Stegostoma tigrinum: one gene and its partners. The protein of the gene in region 1 purifies or fractionates together with the protein of each later gene. This does not show direct contact. Links are inferred from orthologs where the notes say so. Each region holds a gene or a part of one and is shown in the gene's direction. Other genes may lie near its edges.

Region 1 (7,236 bases):
AGACTATTAGACCGATCAGGGTCATGTTCCACATAAACCACCCCCTCAGTACCACCATTCTTAAAACCCTTATCCCAATATTTACATTGAAATGTTATTTATCAAGAATCTTTCTTGAGAATCAAACCAATTTAGTTGGAAAATGAAAAATCATAAGGAAATGACAAATGTTGTTACAAAATGTAATTGTTTTTAATCCATTGAACAGTTTGTCATAAACAAATGCAGACATCGTATGGGATAGCTATATATAAATCTGACTTTGAGAAAGATATTAGCAGTAAAAGATTAGAGATTTAAGATTCTCAGACCAAACTGGTAGTAATTGTTCAATTGCTAGAACATAAAGTATGAATTTATTCATCAGTTATAGCCCTTATTACCGACTCCACATTTATAGTACTTTGATTTTTCTTTCTTGAAAAGTACAGAAATAATGATAATCATCAATAGAATCAGTTGTGACTAGGCAGAAGGTATGTCCTTGTCTCCTTTGACTCATCCCTTAATCAGCTGCAGTGATTTTAACATTGGGACCTTTTATAATCCATGTGGGATATGTTCACTCTTGATGGGAATGTAACCAGGAAATGACAATTTTCAACAGATGAAACAGAAGAATAATTGTTCCTGAGGGGGTAGTGACTGATGCCAAGCACAACTAATAAATTTCTGAATGTCAAACTCAATGTATTTGTTCCCATGGGCTTCTTACTGTAATTTTATTCTGAAGGACAAAATGAGCAGAATCAAAAACAATAACCCATAAAATATAGCACAGATTTTCTAAGTTATGCCATTGAAACAAGTTAGCCTGCTTCAGACTGTTCAGTAAATCCTTTAAAGTTATGAATGGATCTGCAATGCTCAAATACAATTATGTATTTAATGAAATGCCTTCAAAATAGTTTGACATTTCCTTCCTCCACCCACAGACAACATCAACAATATTCCTCGTTAATTATCCCCTCATTTTGGAGTCCAGTTTTTGAAAGAAATGCTCACAGCAAAGCTTAACGTTAATGGAATTTGAACCAACATATCCTGCTTGAAGTTTAATAGTATTCGTTGCATCGCCAATTCAATTGCATTGACCTTCTGAAAAGAAACAGCAACTGAGTGTGAAAGAAACTGATTGCTGCAACTGCTTTGTTTGAGTTACAGAAAATTAATTATACAAATTGTAGTAATGTAAGAAGTGTGAATCAGCGATCAATGCTGGTCAAACTGGAAGAGAAAGTGTATGAAATGAAGGATATATACTTGGAAGCAAGGCGAGAGATTACCACTGAGGATGGTCCATGCAAGGACTTGAATTAGGGGTGGGAAAACACATGGTTCTTGGAGAGGACAGCAACATCTTGTGTTTAGTGGTAGAAATGTCTCGTCACATAGCAGGCTGATAATCAAAAACTTGGCACCTGACACGTAAGGAGAAGCCAAAGAGGTAGGTCTCAAGGAATGTCTTAAATGAGTAGAAAAAGCTTGAAGAAATTTAAGCAGGGTATTTCAGTGCTCACAGGCTAGGCAGCTGAAGGCATGGTGGACTGATTATAATTAGGAAAGCACAAGAAGCAGAATTAGAGGAGTACAGAAGACTTGAGAGGCTGGACAAGGTTGCAAAGTTAGTGAGGGGTGAGGCTATGGAACTATTGTGCAGATAGAATCGTAGAATCCCTACAGTGTGGAAACAGGCCCTTTGGCCCATCTAGTCCACACCAACCCTAAGAGCATCCCACCCAGATCCATCCCCCTATAACCGACCTAATCTACACATCCCTGAACACTCCAGGCAATTTAGCATGGCCAATCCATTTAGCCTGTACATCTTTGGATTGTGAGAGAAAACTAGAGCACCCGGAGGAAACACATGCAGACAAGGGGAGAATGTACAAACTCTGCACACACAGTCACCTGAGAGTGGAATCAAACCCAGGTCCCTGGCACTGTGAGGCAGCAGTGCTAACCACTGAGCCACTGTGCTAGCTAATGGGAAGGTGAATCTTTACACAGGAAGGAATGCAGTTTCATTACTGATGTTAAGTTGTAAAATGCTGAACACGTGGCTTCAAGATTTGTAAGCTGGAGAGAAAGAGATGGAAACAGATGTGGGTCTCTAGGCCCGAAACATCAGCTTTTGTGCTCCTAAGATGCTGCTTGGCCTGATGTGTTCATCCAGCTCCACACTTTATTATCACAGATGTGTGGCATTGTCATGAAGTTGGAAGAAAGCAGTCCAATCCCCATCAGAATAGATGTCTAGTGAGCTCAGCTTGAAGTTGAACCGTAGAACAGCTCTACACTTCCTGATTTAGCCTAAAGGTAGTTGCCAAGGGAGTATATGAGAGGGGGAAAGGGCCAAATTTAAAGACTATAGGCAGGGGCCAAACAGAATGGGTTAAATTTTGATTGCATTAATCTGGAAATTGTGGTTGATGCAGGCAATTGGACAGTGCAGCAATGTTTTTTTAAAATCATTCACTAACTGGGGACATTGCTGGCTATGCCGACATTTGTTCCTCATTCCAGGGGATAGTTCAGAGTCAACCACTTTGTTGTGAGATGGAGTTACATGTGATCCAGACCAGGTAAGGATGTCAGTTTCCTTACCTAAAGGCATTCATGAACGATATGGGTTTTTTCCTGACAATCAACAATGGTTTTATAGTTATCATTAGACTCTTAATTACAGATTTTTGTAGAAATTCAATTCTACCATCTGCCACGGCAAGATTTGATCCTGGACCCCCACAACATTACCTGGGTCTCTGGGTTAACAGTCCAGCATTAAAACTGCTAGACCGTCGCCTCCCCCTTTGGACTGTCAAGGGAGTCAGACACTGTGTTGAAGTCAATCCGAGTTTATGATGATATCAATAAATTATAATATTACTAGAGGAGATAGGGTTAATGGTAGAATCTATAAAATGCTAGACTTATACCAGATGTGAGTTGAAATAGCAGAACTAATTTTGGGAGGCAAACAGAATGTTAACAAAAAGCTGCAGTTGTATGGCTTTACTTAATGTAGCCCAGCCCTATATGTGAATGGAGACTCAGTCTAAACAGCCAGCCATAGAGAGGGACAAAGGTTGATCTGCCCCCTGGAGCAAGCTAAAATAACTATTGAACAACACCATGTAGCAAGCAGTGATGAGCGGAACCTGCCTCTATTTGATGATTAGGTTTCCTTGCAGCAGGCAGGTGCTGTGCCTGCTGGTATGGTTGTTGGTTTCTATAACTGATAGGTTGGTACCACTGGGGCTGCAGTGTACAGACAAAATAGTGGAAACGTTTTTGATTCAATGTTTTCTGTATGCCCCTTCAAAAGACACTTGTTAAAATTAATAGCTGATCAATGAAATGTGTGATTCAATTTTAGATGGTAATCTTTGCCATTTTGCATTACAACATTTTTTCTTTAGCATTCCCCAATCCCTCCACACCACCATCCCCCAATCTTTCTCCTAGACCTATCCCCATCCCTCGCATCCCTGTCTCTCCAATCCCCATACTTCTCTGCATTCACATCTGATTCCCTAATCCCACCCCATTCACCCCAACTCAACCTAAATCTCCCCCAAAAATTCCCCCACCTCTCCCTGAAACGTCCCTCAAATCACTCCCACAAAATGCCCACCCTCTCAAATATGCCCCTTACACCACCATATAAATATCCCACACCCCCGCAGAAAAATCCCAACCACATAGCCCTCCCACAAATCAGAACCGAAATAACAATGAGTGTTGTAAATCAGGAACAAAAGCAAAGTTGCTGGAAAATCTGAGCAGGTCTGGCAGCATCCATGAAGGGGGAAAAAACGGAGCTAACGTTTCCCTTCCTCAGAACGTCTTCCCGACATATCAACCTACCACACACACACACCCTATTCCCATCCATGTATTGCTACCCAGCCCTGCTCATTCCCCACATCTCGCCCCCCAACTCCTGTGGGAGTTACCAATGAAGGCTGAGAAACTGCTCCCCCGAGGAGGTGTAGAGCTGGAGGAACGCAGCAGGCCGAGCAGGATCAGAGGAGCAGGAAGGCAGATGTTTCGGACCTTGTTATCTCAGATTTTACCGCGTCTGCAGTTCCTGCTACCCCCGAGGGGGTGTGTCCATGGCTGCGCGTGACGTCAGCACACGTCACCGCCGCGGGGGTTCCGTCTCATGCTCAGTTTCTCTGAATGGGCAGAGCCCGGCCCCGTTGTTTGTTCCTTCCCGCCTTGCCCGCTGATTGGGCGCATCCTAAGTGGGAGTCGTTGATGACGACTGCTATTGTGACCGGCCGTGGCGGGCAGCGCGTGCGCAGTGTGTGGACGGGCCGTCGTCACTCCCCATCCCGCCCTCTCTGTCCTTAAAGCCGCCATTAACCGTGTCAGTGAGGTGCGGCGCCGCGGTCAAAGCTGCGATAGATCGTTATACCAATTTACATTATATATATATAAAAAAACACACTCTTTAATCAAGGTGTTTTTTTGTTGATGAATCTGGAAAATTAGCTTGTTTTTCGTTTCCCCTGTCGGATACTCGAAAGCCAAGCCCTCCGTCGTGAAGAGGCGGTTTTGTTGTGTGGGGCGGGAGAAAGGGATTAAAGGGTTTTTTTCCTTTCTCCGAGAGCAAAAATGGGCGACAAACTCGACATGTCCCTGGACGACATCATCAAACTCAACCGGCAGAAAAGCCCAGGCGGCCGCGGGGGCCGAGGTGCCCGCGGCGGCGGCGGAGGAGGTGGTGGTGGTGGTGGAGGAGGAGGCGGTATGGGCCGGGGAGCCGGCCGAGGCGGCCTAGCCGGTCGTGGAGCAGCGGGAGGCCGCGGTGGCGGTGGAGCTGGGGCGGGAGCCCTGGCTGTAGGCCTCATGCGCAACAGACAGAGTGCAATCCGAGGAAGAAACAGACCGGCTCCGTACAGCAGGGTAGGAAGCGACCGCGGTTTTAACACACAAAAAAAACAGAAATGATAGGGGAAAAAAATGTTTCATTTAAATCCAGAGAGAGAGGAAGGAAAAACAAATCATTTGTAGATTTTTATTTTGTTTTTTTTCTGGAAGTGCTTTTTTTAATATAAAACGTTCGGTTTGAATTTTGAACCGAGCGGCGCCATATTGGAGCCGTTATAGATTCGGTTTTTTTTCATTACTTTTTTAAAACAAAAATCTTTTAGCCCGCTAACTTTTTAAAACAAACCCCGGGCCCCGCTGGCCACGAGTTATTTTTTTTCGTGAAAACGTCGGAGAATCGAGGAAGAAGGGATTGTTACACGGCGCCTCGTGATTTCTACGGAGGAGGCTGACAAGCGGAAATTCGTGTTTTCGTTGCTAATAATTTGCTTTTAAACGTCCGTCCAAGTCTGTTGAGAGCTCGGAAATGTGATGGCGGCTCCCGAGCAGAGCCTGCGGTCGACACCGGAGCCGAATTCACCAGGAGCTTTAAAATGGCGGCCCGACCCGAAGCACAAAGATGTCGGGGAGGAGCGTGGGGATCAGCAATCCTGCCGCAGTAATAATGCCCTCGCTCCCTTTGTGCTTCACACCGACGGATTTACAAAGGATGGACTGTTTGTAAGGACCACCTTTTGCCACTTTACCACATCAAAAGTTCGATTGATTATTTGCACCGCATTTCTCGACGGCAGCTTCGCATCTCTGGTCACCTTTAACAGACTCCTGAATTGATCAGGACTATTTCAAACTGCCTCTTTTTCTTTGGACTTTAATGAAACGTTCATACAAAAGTGAACCTTCTGCGAGCATATCCTTCGCTCGGTTGGTTACCTGGCAAGTCATGGACTTTTTTTTTGAAGGACTCTTGATCAGTTCTATTAAAAGGAACTTAGCTGATGCAAAGCGTTCCTTTGTTATGGACTCCTGCGCTGCCAAGAATTTTGGACAGTGGAATGCATCTCGCTTGGAAGAGATGGAGGCGTTGCAGCTGTTTCTGCTGGAGAAGCTACCACCAGCTGAGGAGAATTTCACCAAAGTATCTGGCTAGTGGCTATTAGAAGGAATCCAGGCTTTAGTTCGAGATGATGTGCTGTGGAAACAGTGGTAGGATAATAAGTGAATTCATTTCTCACCAAGTAAACAGTTGCATCTGATTTTCTATGCTTAATTTTCATCTATCATTGTGTGTACAGGACCACTTTATATGTTGCTAGCTTAGTGAACTGAGTACAAACATTTTAATTAGATACTAAATTATATTCAGTACATACGCACATGTCATTTTGTTAAATAGTTAACCCATTTCAGGTAAGGTCAGTGTATTTGTAATGAAACTCCCATGACAATCGCTGAAGCAAGTGACTCAGTCTTGCCTATAATATATTGTAAATATAGGGGGAGGGGAAAGATAGATAGGGTGGACATGTGAAATTAACCAATGTATTGGGGTACAAAATGTAGGAAGTCAGCGAGGTATATCTCTATTTTCTTATAGCCGAAACAACTCCCAGACAAGTGGCAGCATGACCTTTTTGACAGTGGTTTTGGCGCTAGCGGCGGTGTTGAAACTGGTGGAAAACTCTTGGTGTCCAACTTAGACTTTGGTGTGTCTGATGCAGATATTCAGGTAAGTGAAGTGCAGGATATTGGTCCTGAGTTGTGGGTTGGAAATGCTCATGGGTATTCTAGTTTGTTTAGAATTGAACTCTTCCTGCCACTGATTAAACAATACAACAGGATAGTGTGGAAGTTATTTTTAAATAGCAATACAGTTGGCCTTGCTATTCTCTTCTCTTTTTATCCCCCCTCAGACTCTTCTCCCTGAAGTGTGGTTTTTGTTATGTTACGTTGTTTTGGCTACTCTAAATATATGTCCAGCACCCCATCACCTGCAGATCCTAAAGTCTAGGTACTCTGGCCAATAAATCTGATGATCAGTTTGGTTTGATAAGATGATATACTGAGCCACTAAAAACTGTTCCTATCTAAATGCATTGTTTCAACCCCCTTTTATCAAACCATTTCCTTTCTCCAGAAGGAGCGGAATCCTCCTCCAAAACATCATCTCACTTGAATTTCATGTACCTTTTTATTCATTCCAGTATGTTGTCCTCAAAGACTTTTGAGTATCTTCTGCTTAATGCACTTCCAGGTTTTAATTGTTTCTAGACTTCAGACTTGTAGTTCCATGTCCCATGTCTGTCATTAGTCTTCAGAAATCTGACATGATTTAAATATTAGCTGTTGAAGTAAATGGCCTTGACTCATTGCTTTGCTCTGAGTGGTCTTGCA
Region 2 (7,068 bases), on another chromosome or scaffold:
GCAAGACAAGGTACATAGAAAATCAGAATCACAGAATTCGAGCAGAAATGTCCCTGCACCGAATGTATTATCTATAACCAATCCCCTTTCCTTTCCCATACCCCAAACACACCATTACTATCCAAAAGTATCCAAAGCTCTCTTGAATGCTTCAATTGAACTTGCCTCCACATTTCCAGGTCATGCATTCAATATCCTGATTCATGCTGTGTGAAAAAGTATTCTCACATCGCGTTTGCTTGGTTTGCATATCACTTTAAAAGATCAAACAAATGGAGCTGTGGTCCAAGATGGTGACAGAGTATGACGCTTCAGCCAAAGCTTGTCTGCTCTGCCTGCTCTTTTCTTGCTCATTGTCTTTTTCCTCTTCTTCCCTCCTGCCCTCAATTGACTCCTGGCCTCAGCACAAACATGATGAGAGGTCCTCTCAGCCTGACATAGTGGCCTCCCGTGGCAGTGGTCCAGTGTGGCATGATGGTCTCTTGAGCTGGTCTGGCCTCAGCGTGGACTCCCAGTCTTGAGGTGATTCCAGAGCAATCTCCCAGGTGAAACCCCGTGCAGTCTGGAGCCAAGGCCTGGTGGCTAGGTGCCAGCATGGTCTGGGCTGGAAGACCCTTGTTCTGAACTTTTATTTCTGCAATGCTGGGCTTTTCATTTCTCTGTTTTCTAAGATCTTGTAACTAAAGAAGCTGCACTTAGGTACCTTTGTACCTAAGATGGTGCGTTAAGTGAGGACTTATAAACTTTTCACTGTCATCATTTCAGTACATGTGCAAAAGCTAATTCTAATGTAGTGACTATAGCTGAGACCTAGCTTAAACATGGACAGCAACTGGAATTAAAAGCTGCAATGTTTTAGGCAGGGATTAGGGAGGAAAGGGACTTTGGAAGGTGGCAAGTAATGGCATTATCCAATTATAGGTTTAGAGTTCTACATGGACAATGTACCAGATGGTCAAAAGATGGAATTGATTTGGTTCCTTCTATTTGTTTCTGATGTTCCCCCTTGATGTCCAACACTGAGAATATATCTCCCAGACTAAGGCAACTATACAAACGTAGGTAGAGCTTGTCTAGGTCTAGGTCTTCTCTTATCTGTTTCTTCACCTTAGCACCAGCATTTTCTATGTTTGACCTCTGATTCCAAGGTGATGAGACAACACACAACCTCCAGGCAACATCATCCAAATGCAATTACCAGGGCCAGCAGTGGAATCTTAGAGGGGAACTAAATCTAATAAAGAAATAAAGCTTGTGTCCAGAGTTTCTGTCATTAAGAGAAATAGAATCAGCAATAGTAGTTTCCAAATAAAAAGTGATGCAGAGCTTATAATCTAAAATCATTAAACTCAAGGGCAAACTTGTGTCTCCATTGCTTCCAGACATGATGAGAAAGCAGGCACCCAATTTGTGTTTAGTCAACCCATCAACTTCTGCAATGCATGGAGTGGCTAGGATCTGGAATGCAAAACCTGAGAGTTTGTTGGAGTCAGATTCAGTCAATGGCTTTGGGAGGGAATTGGATTATTATTGAAAAAGGAAGACAGTACAGGGCTATGGAGGAAAGGCTCTGAGCAAATTGCACATCCTGAGGTCTGACAAAGACACAATGGGCCGAATGGTCTCTTTCTATGCTGCAACAATCCTGCAATTCTTTGCAGAACATTTCCATGCAGTCCATAAGCACGATCTCAAGGTTCCACTTTGTTCCTTTCTGACCTCACTGTCCTCAGTTTGCTGCCATTTTCTAATGAAGTTCAATGTAAATTCAAAGAACAAAACCTCATCCTTTGATCCAACTCATTACAGCCTTCCTGACTTGGCGGGAGAGAGACTATATATCCTGTCGGTCTCAGTTGAATCTCTCTCTCAATCTTCAGTAGTCACCTGTGTCCAGACTATTGCAGCATATCTTTTTAGATGTTGTCTCTCCAAGTGATATCCAGTATCCTGTGAAGGTGGAAGACATCCAATCTAACAATTCCCTTCCACAATCCTGTATCCCTTTTGTCATTGAAATCAGGTATCAAATTGGGACTAGATGCCTTTGATTGGTTCCTTGATTCCAACAATTGATTTGTTTTTCAAAATCACCAGCTGTTTAGTTCCACAATCCTAACAGTTGATTGGCCCCTCAATCCCAGAAGCTGATCTCTCAATTCTAAGAGTTGATTGGTTCCTTAACACCTAAAGCTGATTCATCCCTTTACCCTAGCTGATTGCTAGGTTTTTGAACCAGTTGATTTGTTCCACCCATTTCAGCAGCTGACTGGTTCAAAAACCAGCAGTTGATTGGTTCCACCCATTTCAGCAGCTGATTGGTCCCTCGATCCCACTGGGGTTGCTGTGATCTTTGAACTTCACTGTCACTGGTCCCTCCACACCAGCAACTGATTGGTCTCTTGATCCCACCAGCTGAATGCTCCACCAATTCCAGTAACTAATTGTTCTCTGAATTCCAGAAGCTGATTGGTTTCTTCATCGCAGCAGCTGATTGGTCCCTTGATCTCAGTAGCTGATTGGTCTCTCAATCCTAGCGTTGATTGGTGTTTCCATCCCGTGAAGTTAATTGATCTTTCGATCCCAGCAGGTGATTGATCCCTTCATCCCAGTAACTGATTGTGTCTTCAGCTCAAGCAGCTGATTGGTTCCATCCATTTCCAGAGTTGATTGGTCCCTCAATCCCAGCAGCTGATTAAATTTGGTTTTAGACTTAGATGTTTTATTGTCAGATGAAAAGTGTACAATGTTGCCACATCTTAGGTACAATGGTAACACAGCGTGGAGCTGGAGGAACACAGCAGGCCAGGCAGCATTAAAGGAGCAGGAAAGCTGACATTTTAGGTTGGGACCCTTCTGTTGTGTTCCTCCAGCTCCACACTGTGTTATCTCTGATTCCAGCATCGGCAGTTCTTACTATCTCTCAGGTACAATGGTACCCAGGTAGAAAGTGGTAAAGGAGAGAAACAATGTTAAAAGTTAAACATTACAGTTTATCATGGTGTAAACAGAAAAATAGAGAAATAAAGTAATAGCTAATATTAAAGTCCTTAATATTAATTGGAAAAATAAAGAAATTAAAGTTAAAGTTGCAACATTTTCTTGTGTGCTTAGGCATGCTGTGGCCTCGAACTCCTTTGCTTAGTTCAGTCTCTGGGAGATGTCGGCTGTCTGGTTCTCACCACTGCTGTCACAGATGCGGGGAGACCTCAGTCACCTCTCGCTCTTTCCACATTTCCGTCGCTCCACGCTCCAGACCTGACAAAGCCACAATCCCTTCAGCACTGAAGCAGCCACCTCCAATTTCCTCCTGCTGCTTCCGGAACATGCTTAGGCAACATCCATCACCAAAAAAAGGAGAAAACGAAAGCAAAAAGGAATTTAAAAAGAAAAGCAGATGTATGTGGACAAACTCAGGAGCTTGAACGCAGCACTGCTACACCTCCGCTCAATTAGTCCCTCAATCTCAGAATCTCATTTAGTGCTCATTGCCAGTAGCTACCAGTCCCTTGATCTAAGAAGATGATTGGCCCCTGAATTGCAGCAGCTGATTTGGACTCTTGATTCCAGAAGCGGATGAGTATCTCAATCCTAGCAGCTGTTTTCTCCATCAACCCCAGCAACTAATTGTTCCCTCGATCACAGATGCTGTTTGGTCTCACTTTCCCATTAATGATTGTTCCCTAGATCCCAGCAGGTGATTGGTCCCTTCATCCCAGTAGATGATTGGTCTTGCGAGCCCAGAAACTGATCGGTCTCTCAATCCAAGCAGTTAATTGGTCCCTCACTCTTAAGAGTGGATTCATCCAAGGATCCCAATCGTTCTTTGGCTGCTCAATTTGAATATATGATTGCTCCCTCCATCCCAGCAGCTGATTGATTCCACCATCCCAGCAGCTGATTGGTTCCTCCATCCCAGCAGCTGATTGGTTCCTCCATCCCTGCAGCTGATTGGTTCTCCATCCCTGCAGCTGATTGGTTCCTCCATCCCTGCAGCTGATTGGTTCCTCCATTCCTGCAGCTGATAGGTTGTGGTTGGGGGTGGGAGGAACATGGTGTTGCTCTGATTTTTTCCGGTTCCGGGTCACGATCTTCACGCCGTTCCCTGCTGCCATGCTGAGGCTCTCGTTCCTGTCCCGGCTCGTGTCGGTCTCCTCCCGCCTGGGCCCTCAGGCCACCTTGACACCGCCGATCGCCTCCGTCCTGCGGACCGGGCCCCCTGGGATCCGCGGCCTCGCTCGCTCCATGTGGTTGCTTTCCAGCTCGGCCTCGGGCCGCAGGCCGCTCCGTTCCAGCCACCTTCTCAACGGCGTGTCCTGCGGCTGCGGGGCCCTGCACACGGAGGGTAAGGGAGGGGGTGGGTGCACAACCGGTCCCCGCCCCCCCCGCCCACCACCACCAAGCCCCCCCCCCCCCCCCCCCAGGTCCCCCGCCCACCACCACCAACCCCCCCCCTCCCCCCAGGTCCCCTGCCCACCACCACCAAACCCCCCCCCCCCAGGTTCCCCATCGTCCCGGTTCCCCGCCCCCCAGCTCCCCATCCCTGTTCTCAGCCCCTCGCCCACCTCTCCCTGGTTCCATGGTGGGGCTCTCTGCTCTGGTGTGCTGTGCACTGCTGTCCACAACTTGGCCAGACAATCCCACCCAGGCTGTGCTGCAAAGTGGGATTAGAATGGTTAGATGATTATTCTTAAACTCAATGGGTTTAAAGGGCCCTTTTCTATACTATTGACTTCTATAACTTAGGCTCTAAGTTGAAGGTCTCCTCTTCTTCAGGGCCAAGTCCTTGGCTGTGAAACCAGCGAGAGCTTTGGGTCGCTGTCTGTGTGAAACATGATGGGGTGTTCTTGTATCTGATCTCAACTGGCTGGATTTGCATTGTCCCTGTAGGTGACAAAGCATTCGCTCAATTTCTCACTGATGAAATCAAGGAGGAGAAGAAAATCCAGAAGAGTTCAACACTGCCGAAGGTGTCAGGAGGCTGGGAAATTGGGCTGAATGGGACTGAGGCGAAACTTGTAAGGAAAGTTGATGGTGAAAAGTAAGTGAGGTCACTCGGGTATCATTTGGGCAAGCAGCCAATTTGTATGTTTTTAGTTAAAATCATGTCAGTGGATTGTGGATAGGAAAAGAATTTGTTTTTTTTTAAACAAGTTCCATGGATTTGTTTTTAAAATCTCACCTGAACTTGATGGTATTTCTTTAACAATTCATCCTAAAGAAAGCACTTCCTGTTGTGCAGTAGATGATGGACAGGAGTACGTAACAAAGGCCACATGGCTGATAGTTTCTGTTAAAGTTTCTTTTTCATTCCCTCATGGGTGTCTCTGGCAGGGCCAGCATTTATCCTCTATCCCAGCGGACAGTTAAGATCAACCATGTTATCCTCAGTCACGTGTAGGCCAGACCAGGTAAGAACGACAGCTTCTTTTCTTTAGGAAGGAAATCTGTTTGCCACGGTCAGATTAATAGCTTAAAGCTAATATCTCCAGGCCTTCGCTTCCCCAAGCAAATAACATTGAGTCCAGTGTAACATTTTTGGATCTGGAGATGGTGCCGTTATCTGTTGGATTTCTCCAGCAGCTTGTATTTAAGATCTGAATCAGCAGTAATTGTTTTTATCAATATACAAACTCCTGGAGCAGGGCATTTAAATCCACAACGTCTCAGTCAAGTGAAAACTAAGCCAACAATCCAATACCTCAGCACCAGTTACTTCTGCCCCAAAAGAATTGAATGTAGAATGAGTATGTACTACACTCTGAAAAATGCATTTTAATTTTAGAAAATATGTTGAAATACATTTGGAAGTCCAGGATTTGAGTGAAGATTTGTGGCTGCAGTACTGGTTGTAGATGTTGGTGTGTTTGCCGAGCTGGGAGGTTTGGTAGCAGATATTTTGTCCTGTTTACTGGGTGACATCCTCAGTGTTGTGGAGCCTCCTGTGAAGCATGTGCCTGTGAACCTGCACAAGACAACAGCGCTTCTATAATGGGAGTCTGTTATAACTTGGACTCTAGAGTCTAATAAGTGAGATTGCATAATAGATGCATCATGTTAACGAGAAAATTTTTAGCAAGCAAAATGAGGATTAAATAGAGATTTAATTAATTTTGAACTCATAAGACCCCCCCCCCCAAACCATAATCAGTTTTGTATATTGAGCTGAGTTATCATAGAATTTCACTGTATATTTAGTCTAGAAAGCTTACAGTATCAAATTAAGATTATAATGTTCACCATTGCATGTAGATTCTGATAGTTCCTTAGCCTGTGCAGGACCAGTATTCAGCTTTAGTACATCATTGTCAAGTTCTTAAATGTCATGACAAATATATTACTAGTCCCAGTTTTAAATGAAGTTTGGCTGTGAGCAGTTTGAGATCAGAACGTGCTCCCTGTCATTCTCCGATTCTTTGCAGTTCAGAATTGCAGCTGGTGACACCTTTTTGACTACTTCTTTATCCATAGTGACCATTTACCTCTTTCTGTTTGTAGAGTTACAGTCTCCTTTAATATCAATAACAGCATTCCGCCAACAATGGAGGAGGAACCACAGGAAGGACAGAAGGGTTCAGAGAATGAGGTGAGTTGGATTGAACTTGCACAGTACTCTTGACTGTCACCTTAGTAAAGTTGAGAGGTAATTAAACAGGCATTAATTAAACAAACTCCACTGTGTATTGTTCATCCTGTGCCCTGGGTTGAGTGGAATTTTGTATAGATAGGAGTTGGAGGTCTGTCTATGTGAACAGAATGTACATGAGTATTTAAAAGCCCTTTAAAGCACCACTTTATTTCCTAGAATCCCAAAGCAGGCAATATTAGAACAGTGAACGCCATTGGTCTCGATAACTGACTGGGTGAAAAGTTTGAACCAGAATGGGTTGAACTTGAACTTTTGTAAAAACCTACCTGGGCATACGAGTTCTGTATTTGGACGTGTGGTCTCACTGGGTGGTACGGAGAGGTGGATCTGGGTACAGTCAAGGCATGTGGAAGGTAACTTGCTATAGGCCTTACCCTCTTGCCCTTGTCCAACCTAACGTTAGCGCTACAGCAGTATTT
Region 3 (7,882 bases), on another chromosome or scaffold:
GTAAAAGGAATGAATTTTCAGATTAGTCATGATCTAATGGAATGGAATGATGGAAGATGCTTGAGGGGCTGACTCTCATGCTTCTGTAGAATGGTCACTTTATTTTTCTTTATTCACACGACATGAATATCACTGGCTAGACTAGCATCTCCTATTGCCCACAGGGCAGTTAAAACTCATTCACATCACTGTGGGTCTGGAGTCACAAACTGGATAAAGTTGGCACTTTCCTTCCCTAAAGGGCATCAGGAAACTGGATCGGTTTTCCCAACAATTGGTAACGGTTTCATTGTCGCTGGACTCTTAATTTCAGATTTTTATTAGGTTCATCTACCACGGTCAAGATTTGAACGTGGATCCCCAGAACATTACCTGGGCTTCTGGATTAATAGCCGAGGGATAATACCTCTAAGCTATTTACTCCTGGCACTTGGCAAAGGTCTACCTGGACCCACAGAAGCCGATACAAAGAAAACCTTGACAAGGGAAAGTCTTTGTGTACCTAAGGGGATGTGAATTGTCCGCCTGTGCTTCCTTATCACTATCCAGCAACTAATAAGTATGCATTTAGAATGATTACAATACTGAAAAAGACCATTCAGTCAGATTATTGATAATATGTTTAAGATATGATGTGTTTAGACATGTTTCATATTCTTGCTGGGTGTAGTTTGTATGAACTAAATTGTTTGAAGCTCAACTCTAATTTGTAAGGATCTTTTAACATCCTCTGTACAGATGTTTTACAAATAAATGTCTTTCTAATGAGGTGTGATGAGACACTTATTGTTTTTCCTCAGCATGGATGTCTGATTCTGATTTTGTCATAGAGGTACACAGACCCTTCGGCCCAACTCCTCCATGCCGACCAGGTTTCCTAAACTGACCCAGTCCCATTTGCCTGCATTTGGCCCATGTCCCTCTAGACCTTTCCTATTCATTTATCTGCCCAAATGCCTTTAAAATGTTGTAATTGTACAGCCTCTACCACTTCCTCTGGCAGCTTATTCGATATATGCACCACCCTCTGTGTGAAAAAGTTGCCCCTCCGGTCCCTTTTTAAATCTTTCTCCTTTCACCTTAAACCTATGCCCTCGCGTTTTAGATACCCAATGCTGAGGAAAAGACCTTGGCTATTCATCTTACCTATGCCCCTCTTTTTTTTTAAACCTCAATAAAGTCACCACTCAGCCTCCCATGTTCTAGGGAAAACAGTCCCAGCCTCTTCCCTATAATTCAAATTTTCCAGTCTCAGTAATATCCTTAAATCTTTTTTGTCCCCTTTCCAGTTTAATAACATGTACTGTTTCAACTTTTGTCTCCCTTTGCAACAATGGAACGTGCAACCATATGTTCTGCTGCATGGACCCTAAGCTCTTAAATTCCTTCACTAAACATCCTTTCTCTCGATCATTCTCCAAGACCTTGCAGGGGTTTACGGGGCCTACCAGCTTCATCTGTTTTTGGTTTAAATAGAATCACAGAATCCCTGCAGTACAGAAGCAAACCACTTGGCCCATCGAGTCCACACTGACCTTCAGGAGAGCATCCCACCCAGACTTTAACCCCCCCCCCCCCCCACCCCCCACCCACCCCCCCCCCCACCCCCCACCCTATCCATGTACTCTTACATGGCTAACCCACTTAGCTAGCACATCCCTGGGCACGATGGGCAATTTAGCATGGCAAGTCCGCTCTAACCTCCAGATCTTTGGACTGTGGGAGGAAACCAGAACACCCAAAGGAAACCCATGCAGACACAGGGAGAATGTGCAAGCCCCATACAGACAGTTGCCCGAAGCTGGAATCAAACCCGGGTCTCTTGCGCTGTGAGGAAGCAGTATTAACCACTGTAAACGTCTGGTAATGCGTTTGTGAAATGTCTTGAGTCACTTAGTTAATTAGAAGTATTGGTTATAATTTGGCTTATTCCAGAGCTTAAAATTAGTAGTTAAATGGATCATCAAGGATGTTTGCAACCAAGAGGAGGCATTCCTCCAGCATTTAATTCAAATCCCTTGGTCAAATTATGGTCGCTGATGACTGGATGTGCAGAAGGTGAGTGATGATTTCATGGTTAGATTGCTGTCTCATTCACCTTCCTATTTTTGTGAAAGTCGACAAGTTATAGTCTAACAGGTTTGTTTGAAGAGACAAGCTTTCGGAGTCTCGCACCTTCTTTAGGTGTCAGTGACTGACATTGTTTTTATGAAGGCTAGCTGGAGTTCCTGCTCATTAAAATGGAACTTCAGTGGTTAAGAAATGATGAGCTTCTGTTTCCATATTGCCTTGATCTCAACTTCAGGATACCCTATAATGTCTTAGAGCTAACAGTGTAATTTTTAAGGGTAGCCACTGTTGTCCCATGGAAGACATAACTGGCATCGTGGAGAATTTCATTGTCTCCTTCATTGAAAAGAGAGAGCCAAGTTATGTGATATAATCTAAACTGTGTAGTGATTTGCCATTGATCTGTGATGGTCAGGCAAGTGTTGCATGCCAGAAAGCAAAACAGAAGTTGCTGGAAAAGCTCAGCAATCTGGCAGCATCCGCGAAAACAAATCAGAGTCCAACATTTCTTGTGCAGTGACCCTTCCTCAGAACTCTGCTGCCAGACCTGCTGAGCTTTTCCAGCAACTTCTGTTTTTATTCCTGAATTACAGAATCTGCAATCCTTTTGGTTTTTATGTTGTACAGCAGGAGCACGTTAATAGATTCCTTTGCTTTCCAATGTTTAGTCTAATCCCTACTTTACCGCCTCCATTAATGTATGGTTAGCAGCTCAGCCTCTGAATATGCAGACGTGCAGACATTATCTGCAGGTGGTAGCTCAATGCTAGAGGTTGGGGGTGGCGTTGTTTCTGGGCTGGGGACTACGCAGGGTGGACAGTTTCCTGCTCGTGTAAAGAAGCCGCACTCTGGCTGGAACCTTCATGGATGTGGAGTGGAGGGAATACCCTTTAGAACTGAGATGAGGAGGAGTATCTGCAGCCAGAGGATGGTCAATCTGTAAAACTCATTGTCACAGACGGGTGTTGAGGCCAGTCGTTGACTGTATAAAAGACAGTAATGCATAGGTTTGGAGGTTACGATGAGCTGGCAGGAAAATGGTGCTGACAAACACATCAGCCGTGAACAAATGGTGGACCAGACCTGATGGGCTGAGTGACCTAATTGTGCTCCTACATCTTTAAAGGTCTTCTGAATTATTTGAGCAGGGAAGATGGAGAATAATGTTGCTATAATTCAAAACTTTGCTTGGCCTGAGTTTACACAAAATTGGGTTTGTAGCACATTCATTGGTGAGAACTATAATTTGCATGTTCTGCCAAAGAGATTTTACTGAACTTGAAATGTTAACTGTGTTTCTCTCTCCCCAGATGCTGCCAGACCTGCTGAGATTCTCTAGCATTCTATGTTCTGTTTCACAGTTTACAGCAAATGGAGGATGATAAATGACTTTAAGAGGATGTTACACAATCCCACCTAGTTGACGGAGTTAGAAGCTTTTGTGAATTCAGAGAAGGCTGTGTATAGAAATGGCTGCTGTCTGCACTTTTCTTGGACTTCTCTTGTAAGGATCCAAAAACAAAGGGCCACAAGACCCAAAACGTTAACTCTGATTTTTTTTTCCACAGATGCTGCCAGACCTGCTAAGATTTTCTAGCAATTTCTGTTTTTGTTCATGATTTCTTGTGGGTTTTTATTTTCTAATCAGTCTGTTCAGAGAGATTATTACACATGGTGCATGTATGGAATGAGCTGCCAGAGGAAATGATAGAAGCTGGTGCAATTATAACATTTAAAAGACAGCTATATGGGTTTATGAACAGAAAGAGTTCAGAAGGATCTAGGCCAAATGCTGGTAAATTGGGGTAGATTTAATTTAGGAGATTTGATCAGCATGGACGAGTTGGGCCAAAAGGTCTGTTTCTGTGCTGTACAAATCTGTAACTCTACCTCTTGAGCAGGTGGGACTTGAACCCAGGCTTTTTCATTCAGAGGTCAAAGCAATAGTACTTTGCCACAAGATCCCCATTAAAATGGGATTAGAATAGCGAGACGGTTGATTTTGACCATCACTCAATGGGCGGAAGGTTCTTTTTCTGTGCTGGAACCCTGTATGACTCTATGCACTCTGGAGCAGGTGGGACATCAATTCTGGCCTCCCTTTTGGGGATAGGTGGACTACCACTGTACCATCACTGTCATTATCAAATCTGACCATTTGTGCAGCCAACTTGAGGGGTTGCGTGACCTCCTCCAAATCCTCTAAGTTTTATGTTCTGAAAGTTCCAAAAGGTCGAATATTTCAGATGTGTAAACGGCAGTGAGCACTGTATGTAGTGTGCATCTAAAGGACAGATGTATACCTAATGTTTAGGGGTTTATCCTTCCAGGTTGTGGGATTTAGAGTAAACTTGTCCTAGTAACCTATGGTATATGTATTTAGATTAGCCTCCAAGCGAGAGGATGCTCCGAACTAAATGACTGACTCCACGTGTGTGCGGCTGTAACCTTCAGTATTTCCTGATGGAGCGTATTGGCCAATCGGAAGTCAGAGGAGGGCCGACTCCGGGCGATGGTCCGCCTCCACAGACTGATAGGCATGTGATGTATGCAATGGAAGGAGGCCGTTGGAGCCTGGTCCCGCCTATCAGACGCGCCGCCCAATGGGAAGGAGAGACGGCTCGATGTGACGGACTTTTGAAAGAACCAATGGGTGTTGGGAGCCGCAAGCGGTGGTTCCGATGAGCGGTCAGCCTGACCAATAGAAGATGTAGAGGTGGGGCCGGGGTTAAAGACCGAGCCAATGAACGACAGGTGGAGGGGCGGGGAAACCAAGGCGTCGTGTATAAAAGCGATGACGAAGATGACGGCCCTTCTTTCACAAGATGGCCGAGTGCATGGAGGTAGGTGCTGGAGGGCGGCTTTGAGGACCGCGGGGTCGAAGACGAGTGTGGAGGTCCAGGTTGGCTTCGCAATAAAAGCCCGACGCGGTGGTTTTGATCAGTTAATTAATAAACATGGTGTGATTGGTGAGGAGGGGGGCGCCTCAAATTTAATTAATTGTCCGTGTGGTGGGGGGGGGGAAATGTTCCCGGGGAGGGGGAGGGTGCTGTGAAACGAGGCCTCGAGTTATTGGCCCCCGCCCTGGGGTGGGGTTTGTTAGCCAGAGGATAGGCCCCTTGGCGGGAGAGGGAGGTGCATTACTGTCCCCCCCCCCCCCCCCCACCCCCTCCCTCCTTTGTGGGGGTGGGTGAACTTTATTATCGTTCTTCCCCCCCCCCCCCCCCCAAAAAGACTTCATTCCCCACCCAGCTCTGCTAGTCATTGTAGGTATAGAAGAACCCCCCCCCCCCCCAACCCTCAAACACACTCACCAGCTCCATTATCCCTTCAGTGTTTCACAATTTTCACTCCTTCCACCTGCTTCCTCTTTCTCTTTCTTTTTCTTTCTCTCTCTCTCTCTCTCTCTGTGTCTCTCTCTCTCTCTATCCATCTCTCTCTCTCTCTCTCTCTCTCTCTCTCTATCCACGTTTCTAATTGAAAGCAGTCCAGCTTACCTTTCTGTTTCAGGGCAAATGAGATAGCTGGTTGAGGGGGTGGGGAATGTCCCTTTGTTTGCCCTCATGACGGTTCTCAGTCTGAATCTCCCATCTATAGCTTGGAGCCAACTGTGCATAATTGTCTTGCTTAGCAAAGCGTAATTTTTTTTCTGGACTTCTTTTCACTTGAGCCAAAAGTTCTCTTTACCACCCCCGCCCCCCAACACCCCACTTTCCCTCCCCCGCTGCTTGAGAGGGGCTACTGGCCTCAGTTGTCTTTGGACGCTCTGGCCTTAGGTAATGTGTCGATTTTTATCTCCTCTAAGTTCTGTCATGTTGGGTCCACTTTTGGTTTGTGGAGCTGGGACTTTTAAGGTTTCTTAAAAACTGTGTCTGTGTTTATAAGTTGACTTACCAGACCTTCTATCCAAATCCATGTTTAGCCTCATCCTCCCTGTCAGAATTGTGCCTGAGGTTTGGTTGACACAGTAACCTCGAGTTTCTTGTGATTTTTCTTGTAAAGTTTACAAAGGCTGTTAATGCTGAATTGAAAATCTGTCAGTCTCACTGATTTTGATATGTGGCTAATGCGTGCTCATGAGTTCTGTGGTAAAGTTTATACAGGCTTAATACAATTTCCTGAATTTGTATTAATCATGATTTTAATATGAAGTTAATACATGTTCATAATTTTCTCTAAAATTTACAGATGCTTAATGCTGTATCCTGAATTTGTATTAATCTCACCAATTTGAATGTATAGTTAATGTGTTACAAAAGGTGCAGTTTTATGGAGCCATACAACATGGAAACAGAATGTTCTGTCCAAACTCAGCTAGTCCCATTTGCCTGTGTTTGGTCCAAATCCCTCTAAACCTTTAATATTAGTTTCAGTGATAATAGTGTGGAACGAGAGGAATGCAGCAGGCCAGGCAGCATCAGAGGAGCAGGAAACTTAGAGGGGTGTACGGGCAATGAAAGTTTTTGTTTTTAGTGGGGTGAGAGTGGTAGTAAACGTCAACTTTTGGGACCCTTCTTCGTGACCCGAAACATCAACTGTCCTGTTCCTTCAGCTCCACACTGTTATCTCTGACTCCAGTATCAACAGTTCTTGCTATCTTCTATTTCTTTCAGTGCCTGTTTTAATGAGGTAATCCTGAAGGAATGCACCAGTCACTATTAATTTTAGGGATTGTTTCTGACCGTAGCTCAGTTTAGATCTTTAGGTGCTGTTAATTTGTTAAATTATTTTTTAAAAGAAAGTCTGATTTATAAGGGGAGCATCTGAGTAGTGGGGTAGACGTTTTACATCTGTCATCTACCACTTTGTTCACTGAATCACCTCTTCCTACATCCAGTTAGGTGCTGTTTCCTGTCCTCATTAATTTTACATCACCAAATCTTCAAGCATTCTCATTCTGATTTTTGGGGTTTTTTCATGTCTTCATCCTCCTTATTGAGCCATACAGCAGGGAAACAGACCCTTTCATCCTCTCATCTGTGCTGCCCAGACGTCCCAATCTGATCTAGTCCTGTTTGCCAATATTTGGCCCGTATTTCTATTATCTACCTATCCAGATGTCTTTTAGATTTTGTAATTGCACCAGTCTCCAACACTTCCTCTGGCAGTACTTTCCATATGCACACCAACCTCTGTGTGAAAACCTTACCCCTGAGCTTTTATCTGTAACCCTGTCCATTATTGTTCACTATTGTTTGCACTCATGTTCTTTCACTCTTGTGCATTGCTGACCCTTGACCAGACACAGCTGACAGTGCAATGTCAGGTAGCTGTGTCCTGTGTTCTGAAATCGTCTCCTTCCACACACACTTCTCGAGTATGTGTCTTGTGTCCTCCCTTGGCTTCTACTGTGTTTTTGTGAAGGCACTAGATAAGTGCGGGCTAAAGCTAGGAGCTGTGAATGACGAAAGTTCCATTGATTGCTTCTTGATTTTATATATTTATATCTCTCATTCCAACAGCTCCTACCTCAGACTGGAAATTTTTCCTCCCCTGTTTTGGGTGAAATCGGTTATTTAACATTTCTGTTTGGTCTGTACGTCATTTGGATTTTTCTTTGGAGTTGGGAGCTTTTGAAGTTTTCCCATCAAGTGTGCATGGGCAAATGTGTCTCACTAACTTGGTTCAGTTTTTGTTTTGAAGAAGTAACAAAGAGGATTTGCAGGCAGAGTGGTGAACATGTTCTATACAAACTTCGTGAAGGTGTTTGACAAGGTCCCTCATGGTAGACTGGTTAACAAAGGCTAGAACACTACAGGGAGAACTATCCATTTGGATACAGAACTGGTTTGAAAGTAGAAGACAGAGGTTG

The links. Proteins that work in one complex are often made in the same cells at the same time.
Region 2: the proteins of alyref (region 1) and c1qbp purify together in Homo sapiens (affinity purification with mass spectrometry; 3 studies listed by BioGRID and IntAct, with this or other methods). This does not show direct contact. The link is inferred for Stegostoma tigrinum from reciprocal best matches to the Homo sapiens genes ALYREF and C1QBP.
Region 3: the proteins of alyref (region 1) and prmt1 purify together in Homo sapiens (affinity purification with mass spectrometry; 3 studies listed by BioGRID and IntAct, with this or other methods). This does not show direct contact. The link is inferred for Stegostoma tigrinum from reciprocal best matches to the Homo sapiens genes ALYREF and PRMT1.

What each region holds. Positions count from the first base shown.
Region 1 is NC_081375.1:11,189,970-11,197,205, forward strand, and holds the start of alyref (THO complex subunit 4), read left to right. Parts: upstream 1-4,228; 5' UTR 4,229-4,626; coding exon 4,627-4,917; intron 4,918-6,439; coding exon 6,440-6,571; intron 6,572-7,236. UniProt on the Homo sapiens protein: Functions as an mRNA export adapter; component of the transcription/export (TREX) complex which is thought to couple mRNA transcription, processing and nuclear export, and specifically associates with spliced mRNA and not with unspliced pre-mRNA.
Region 2 is NC_081380.1:3,374,923-3,381,990, reverse strand, and holds the start of c1qbp (complement component 1 Q subcomponent-binding protein, mitochondrial), read left to right. Parts: upstream 1-4,054; 5' UTR 4,055-4,113; coding exon 4,114-4,345; intron 4,346-4,890; coding exon 4,891-5,041; intron 5,042-6,498; coding exon 6,499-6,586; intron 6,587-7,068.
Region 3 is NC_081391.1:22,304,062-22,311,943, reverse strand, and holds the start of prmt1 (protein arginine N-methyltransferase 1), read left to right. Parts: upstream 1-4,868; 5' UTR 4,869-4,895; coding exon 4,896-4,913; exon of another isoform or gene 4,914-4,972; intron 4,973-7,882. UniProt on the Homo sapiens protein: Arginine methyltransferase that methylates (mono and asymmetric dimethylation) the guanidino nitrogens of arginyl residues present in proteins such as ESR1, histone H2, H3 and H4, FMR1, ILF3, HNRNPA1, HNRNPD, NFATC2IP, SUPT5H, TAF15, EWS, HABP4, SERBP1, RBM15, FOXO1, CHTOP, MAP3K5/ASK1, MICU1 and NPRL2.